Linked DNA regions of Caenorhabditis elegans. The protein of the gene in region 1 interacts with the protein of each later gene in a pairwise test. Each region holds a gene or a part of one and is shown on either strand. Other genes may lie near its edges.

The links. Proteins that work in one complex are often made in the same cells at the same time.
Region 2: the proteins of his-71 (region 1) and C04A11.1 interact in a two-hybrid assay, tested with the Caenorhabditis elegans proteins (one large-scale study listed by BioGRID).

What each region holds. Positions count from the first base shown.
Region 1 is NC_003284.9:7,980,851-7,983,702, reverse strand, and holds his-71 (Histone H3.3 type 1), read left to right. Parts: upstream 1-1,632; 5' UTR 1,633-1,648; coding exon 1,649-1,720; intron 1,721-1,766; coding exon 1,767-1,920; intron 1,921-1,972; coding exon 1,973-2,157; 3' UTR 2,158-2,321; downstream 2,322-2,852. UniProt on the Caenorhabditis elegans protein: Variant histone H3 which replaces conventional H3 in a wide range of nucleosomes in active genes. Constitutes the predominant form of histone H3 in non-dividing cells and is incorporated into chromatin independently of DNA synthesis.
Region 2 is NC_003284.9:13,658,659-13,663,503, forward strand, and holds C04A11.1 (Protein hu-li tai shao), read left to right. Parts: upstream 1-1,847; 5' UTR 1,848-1,888; coding exon 1,889-1,924; intron 1,925-2,199; coding exon 2,200-2,352; intron 2,353-2,714; coding exon 2,715-2,816; intron 2,817-2,891; coding exon 2,892-2,995; intron 2,996-3,092; coding exon 3,093-3,143; intron 3,144-3,640; coding exon 3,641-3,842; 3' UTR 3,843-4,322; downstream 4,323-4,845.

The DNA of each region.
Region 1 (2,852 bases):
CCGCTCCTAGTTTATGAGCCTTAAAAACCAACAAATCTCGTTTTTTAACTTTTGTTCTACAATATTTGTCCTCTTCTGTTGTATACAATTCACCTTTCAGGGTCTTCTTTAATGTATGTGTTATTAAAACTGCCATTAGATATCAGCCACTTTCCAACCAACTTTATGTTCTTTCTAACCAACTTTACCCACTTCTCAACCAACTTTTGCCAAGTCCCACACTCGTTTTCCAGTTGTTTAGAACTTAAAAATGCTTACCCATTTAACCAACTTTAGCCAACTTTAACCAACTTTAGCCAACTTTAACCAACTTTCGCCACTTTTGTAAATGGCCGTTAGAAAGTGGCTAAAGTTGGTTGAGAAGTGGCGCCGGTTTACCAAACAGTGATACAAATAAACAACAAATTTGAAATTTCCATTTCCTTTTCAATAGAAAATTAAAACATTAAAAATCCGTTGATAAATAGTGCCGTCGTTTGTAGGAAAATTCAATATTTCCTATTGAGGCTTGTTTGAACTAGGGGGTGCGGCGAGTCGCCGAAGCACTGACCACCTGCAACCGGTGGACGTAATATCTTTGTGAAACACTATTCAGAGCACTGTTTATTATCTCCTGACCGTTAATATCACAATCCTGGGTAAACTTATTAATTTTTCTTTGGCGATATTTGGTCATTTGGCCTGCACTTGCCGAAAATAACCGACTTTTGCCATAAATCTTTGGGATAGTTGCCGCATTCGCCGATCGCCAAAAAAAACTCAAAACCGGCAAATGCGGAACTCGCCCGATGTTTTGAAACCGGCGAACACCAAATTCGCCAATAATTCCGCCACGTGACCTGTTGTTTTAGATTTAGTGTGCTACGTAGAAAACCAAGTGTTGATAGCAAATTTAAATAACGGATATCTGTCATACAGTTTTCGTATACTCTAATACTATTCTATAATTTCCAAGGCTACACTAACGTTTTTTCTCACTCTACCCAATATTGTCTCCACACTCTGCATTGCCTCGCTCTCGCTCACAGCCATCTCACTCTGGTCTTTTTCCGTCTCACTATTTCTCTCTCCTCTCTTTCCTCCCATTCAATCAAATTGAATCGAACCGAAAGCTTTAGTTCTTAATATTCTTGCTGGTCTGTCATTTTACAAAAATCGCTAACCTTTAAAATAATTATTGATATTTTACTTAAATAGTTAGAATAGTTAAAATATGACCTAAAACGCTATACATCGTTAACTAGTCTTTGAAAAAATCCTCGAATGCTTAAACTTTTGTAATTTTTTGAATTCGTAAAATGTAAAGTATTTCTTATAAGATCGAAGTATAAAATTTAACAGTTATGATATGTTTTTTCATCAGTTTCATTAGTATCTAAATTCTCTAATTCTCTGAAAGTAATCACAAGTTTAGTTTTACTTTCTAATTTTCACATGGTCACAAGATTCCATATTCACTGGCGGAGCGTGCCGCGTCGCGGTCATGTTGAGTCGCATAATAACAGACTTGCGCGTCTCCGCATAAACACCACTTTTCTTCGTTTTTTCACGCTGTTCGCTTGCTCTTAGTCATCTCATTTTCCATATATTTTGATGCTGACTTCTATTATCAATATTGCGTATAATTTTCAGGTGAACCAGAATTGAAATGGCTCGTACCAAGCAAACCGCGCGTAAATCAACTGGAGGAAAAGCTCCTCGCAAGCAGCTGGCCACTAAGGTTTGTCATTATGAAATATTATTTTTTATCGAAGAAATAATTGCAGGCGGCTCGCAAGTCAGCTCCAACTACCGGAGGTGTCAAGAAACCACATCGTTATCGTCCAGGAACCGTCGCTCTTCGTGAGATTCGTCGTTACCAAAAGTCCACCGAGCTTCTCATCCGCAAGCTTCCATTCCAACGTCTTGTTCGTGAAATCGGTAATATTTATTGTAATGTTCTTTATTAATTAATCAACTGTTTTTATTCTAGCTCAAGATTTCAAGACCGATCTCCGTTTCCAATCCGCCGCCATCGGAGCTCTGCAAGAGGCTTCTGAGGCCTACCTCGTTGGGCTCTTCGAAGACACCAACTTGTGCGCAATCCACGCCAAACGTGTCACCATCATGCCAAAGGACATCCAGCTTGCTCGACGCATCCGTGGAGAACGTGCATAAACGTTGAGCTGTTTCGCCAATCTCTCTGAATAATCTATTATGTATCTCTCAATGTACTAAAATCTTCCATCTCTTAACTTAATCTCTCTTTTATTCTAGCCGAGAGTGCATGTTATTCTATGTTATTTTTTTTACAAAAAAGTAATAAACGTAAATATTTTGTGTTTCCTTGTTTTTGAACAGCGTGCATGAGTTGGGATTAAACATATTTATTTATCAAATCGTTGAGAATAAATAGAAATAATTGAAATCTTGATGAAAATCAGGAATTGAAATCTTTGAAGATACCGAAAGAGGCTAACAACTATAAAGCGCGCCAACAAATTCCGACTCAGACATAATTCCTTCAAATAGATATTTTTGAACGTTTTTTGAAAGTTGATTCTGAATTTTTAGAACTGGACCAGGTTACTTTTATCTTGAAAACATGCCATGTTTTTGGTGGAATAGCAAAATCTGGTAGTTTACTCTTTTAAGCAAAAAAATGCCCCAAAAAGTTAAAGCTTCGCAACGGGATGTTTTGAAATTTTGTCAAATGTTTTTTTTTCGGAATTTTAGCTTTTTATTCATTCCGCAATAGGTTTTTCGGTAATTAAACACGTTTGTTTTTTGTTCAGTTGTTGTGTTCTTTGAATAAATTTTCAGAAAAATCCTTCGAAACTAACGAAACTGAAAAGGGAGTGCTAGTACTAAAA
Region 2 (4,845 bases), 5.7 Mb from region 1:
TACTCAAATGTTCAACCCTAACACAACCAGTCTTACATTTTCAAGTTTGTTTTCTTGAGTATATGTATTATTTCAACCACTTCTCCCTCACCTTCAAACCTTGATTTCGGTCATCCACTGTAATTAGTTCAATTGCCGGAAAAATTCTCGAAAACTGCCAAAAATTATGGTGGTCTGTGCCCCCGCTGTCAAGTGGCAATTTTTTTTCTGGTCGCTGCTGTATGAGACTGAAAATTGGCAGGAAAACATTAAAAGCATGGCGTGAAAGTTGAAATTTATGAATGTTTTTTTTCTTCTTGCTCTTGAAGTCTGAAGACCCATCAGACGAAACGAACATCCCATATTTTTTCTGCCTTTGTTTGTTGGTCTCCCCGCGCCGGAATCCCATTCCAGCACAAAACTTGTCACTTTTTCTTCCGTCTTCCTTTTCAGCCTCGTTTAGTTGTTTCTTTTTTTTTCTCTTTCTGACATTTTTTTTCTCGGTTTCCTTGAATTCGTTGCTGATAAAATATGTGTTGTCTCTTATGCTCACAAAAGAGCACCCGCTTTTCTCACATCGGACATCCTCCGTCCTCCCGCAACTCAGCGAGTTGAGCATTCCAAAATCTCCGGGGACATCTTCGAATGAATGTGCGTATTTGAGAAGAATAAGCTCAAGTGTAGCAGGCGCTAGATTCCGATAAGGAAAAGCATTTCGGGATATTATTTTCAAATTGTAAACAATGTTCAAGTCTGGGATTCCATCTATATTAAATCAATTCCAGTTTCTATTCCACAATAGTTCAAGCTCGGAATAAGATGAGACATATCCTTCTTGAATATTCATTAGTTTTAGACGCCTCTCATCGATTTTAGTGCACATTTTCTGTAACAAAAAGAACTCTTGGTCGAATCCTCTGAGCTCACTGAGCCTTCAAGCTCTATCCGATGTTCTTCTTCCTCACGAGACTAAATTTCATTTTGGGACTGCTGTTTTCTCTCGATGAGCCTTTTTTAAAGGCTTCGAGTTTTTTCCAATCGCTCATTCTATTTTCTGGGTAATTATTTGTACTGAAAGTGCATAAAAGGGATTGGATTTTTTTGTAAATTTTATTTCGGGAATTTGGGTAATTTTGCTACGATCAAAAAACGCAAAAAAAAAGTCAAAAAATTTATTTTGAATTCGAAATTTGTAAGGTCGATGTTACTTTTCTAAATTAAAGAAAGTTGTTTTACATTTTGAAAAATTGAAAACTAGTAAAAAAAGAAGAAAATTATGTGCAATATTGCTTTTAAATTTAATATTTTTTAATTGTGAAATTCGATAAAAATTTGATAAATGAAACTTTCACATTGAATCAACAACACAACAAAAAGTACTTATACCAGAAGACAATTGTTCTTTCACCAAATAAAACAAAGGGAATGCACTCATAGATTTAGAAGATAACCCCATATACTCAAATCTTTTAAATCTTTTCAAAAATCTGAGGAAAAGAGACATAAAAATTCGTTTTTGCGGCATAGCACCCTCCTAACCAATTCTTTGCCCTTTTTTATTTTTCTCTCTCCCTCTCCCTCTTTCTGACTTTTTCAAACTCATCCGTTCAACTTATTCTCATTTTTGCACATTTAGAGTGTGATATGGAATATTATGTGGAACTAAAACTGTACCGGGAAATATACTCTACTCTCTATCAGTGAACATATGAACTCTCTAGTCAGGTGATAAGTCTTAAATTCGCACTTGACATATATATTTCCAATATTTGTTGTATTGTTTTTCAATGTGAATTTTTTAATCCTCTTTGCCTGTTCCTCAATTTACATATTTTGAACAACTTTCGATATAGTTGTTTTTTCGTTACAGGGGAAACCAGCAACCATTATACCATTCTATAAAGATAGTATGCCGGAGACGGCGGCCGACTCATCCAGTGATGAGGTAAGTTTTTTTTTTTTGAAAATAAATTTAATGTAGTTATTTTACAAGTTTCAAGCGTTTTTATTTTTAAAATTTAATCCAACTCGTCATGTTTATTATAATGAAAGATTGAACTATTTCAATTGTGGTATATCAAAATATTCATACATTTTTACAACGTTTTTATATCCTTCAACTATTCAAACATCTGAAATTCAATGTATATTTACAATACATTTTCAATAAGAAAATAACTTGATTACATAAACTTGATTTAATCGATTAATTATTTACAGCATGACTGGCACGATGAGAAGGAAGATATGCTGATGATGGTGATGGTGGTGTTGCTCATGCTGCTCTCTGTCGTAATCTGGGTGGCCTTCTGTGTGGCCGTCCGAAAAACGGCGCGTAAATTCATTGAACTGAAAAGGCAAAGACGAAGACAGGTACGACAATCATTTTCACGTGTATACCGTCAGATTACACACATATTTTCCTAACTGGTATGGATTTTTATCCGACACGCTCTACTTGCAAGCGGCTTCACACACACTGCGAGATTTGAGATTTTTGTTATGCTTTTGATTTAGTTGAAAGTTTGAAAGAAGAAGGGGAACAGTGTGAATATGGGAAAAAATTATACACTCTGAAATACTTATGTATTGCTGAAAAATTAATCAAACATTTTTGAAATTTGACAGAAATTAATTTTTGAAATTGAATTGAAGCAAAACGCAAAAAACTATGAAAACATGATGTTCTAATTTTTTGATGTTGAGTTACTAAAATATAAAAATACTTTTTTCAGGCACTTTTAACAGCAGCAATCAACCGAGCAGCTTCGACAAATGAAGCGGACCGTCATAATGTACTTCCGATATACATAACAACATTGGCACACGAGCTTAATGTTGGTTTTTTGCCCTTTTTTTTTAATATTTCAACAAAAAATCTAGTTTTTTTTTCTAATTCTAATTATTTTCAGGTATTCGGAGCAAGAGAAGAAGAGCTACCAACTTATGAAGAGGCACTTTCTATGAGTTGCACGCCTAGTCCGAATCCAGTTGTTACAACTTCGAATCGAGATCGGTTAGTTGTAGACTCGCCATATATCTTCACATTAACCCGAATAGCTTAGCATACCTTCACATAACCCTGACATCAACTAATCCATTTTCAATTCCAGCGTGCCCCCATACAAGCCACGGTCTGGAAAGTCGGGCGGCCGAGTGCTCAGGTAGGGAAAATGTTGTCTAATACTTCTGTCAAGTGCTAATACTGTGTGATTGCGTGTGTGACATATAGAATTTCTTAATATTCGTGTTGCGTACAAAAAATAAATAAAATGAACAATGTAATTGGGAAAGTGATTTTTTTTTGGCGTCGATGACTAGGAAATTTAAACACCGTCAATTCTTCCATGAAATTTGTTGTTAATTACTTTACTTTTTTGAGTTTGAGTTCCATTACACAACCACAACAACAAAAAATAGTTGTTGGAAGTTATAAGAAGATTCTGGAAACATACTGACACCCTTGCAATAATTGAAAAAGCTAGCGTAACAAAACCAGGAAAGTGTAAAAACAGTTAAGAATTGTTGAAGAAAGTGAAAGCCATTCAATAACCAATCTTTTCAAAAATCGTTCTCAAAACCTACAAGTTCAAAACAAATGTTACTCTTAGAAAATTAACCTTTTTTGACTTAATTTACACTCATGTAATAAATTTTCCAGAATCGCTCCGGACCGTCCTGGTTCAATTCCAACAATAGTTCTACCGCCAAGCTACGAGAGCTCTGTCCGTCATGAAGCAATGCTTTCGCCGAGAATACATTCATCGCCGGTTCCCACCTCATCGAACGCCACCGCACCGAGCACATCCACTTCTCCGCCTATCTACACCATCTCTGGAAACATGCACGTCACTGAATGCTAGTTGTGTGTTTTTGTTCTCTCACTGTTTATTTTGAATATCTTTCTGATTAGTTCTTTCTTTCTGCACACCAGCACTTTCTCTCACATTTCATCAACTCGATTACGGTTATTTCAATCTTGAGACTTTTCAATGCTCATTCGAATTGTTTCAGAGAGAGAGTCTTCATACGGTTTTGAACATAGAAACCGTTTTGTAAATTTCTCTACTTAAATGTCATGATTCGTGTTATCTACCTATAACTCGGTAATATAATTATCTCCTCAATCCATGTCTATCTATTCTTCAAACTTCTACCCAATCATCCCCCAGTCAGCAAAATCGTACGGTTAATCCATTTCGCACCAAAAAATTGGTACAGAAACTGAAAACGGTCATCTATGCATTGATTCTACTAAAGTATGGTTTCGGTTTTCACGCTCGTGTACATGTTTGTATTTTTGCCATTTGTCATGTCTGTATAGAATAAACTGATTTGCATAAGCCAATGTTGAAACTGGAACAAAAATTGAATGAAAAAAACCAACCGGAGACCAAACAGGAGACAAGTGAAATTTTAAGTTTTTTGGTTGAAAGGAACACAAGAATGTAATGACGCGTAATTATTAAGAATACACAACTCACTAAATAAAACTACTACCTGGTACACATTATTGACATAATTGAATTGAATTGATTTTTTTTTAAATTTAAATGTAATGCAATGCAAAACACAATAAATCTCAAAGTTAAATGAATGTCTGAATCAGAATACTGGCCTCGAGAAAGTACATTAAAAAAAATTTGAGAAGCACATGAAAACGACTGGAAAAAAAAATAAGTAAAAATGTCCTTACTAATTTAAATTCTGCGATACGGTAATTTGGTACTTTTATATTTCTAATACCCAATATTACAAGCGAATGTACGTATAGTGTTCATGAAGATTATAAGAAGCATAACAAACTCATAGAGGAGGTTTGCACATAATTTTCAAAGAAACTGCAAGATATTCTAAACAATTATT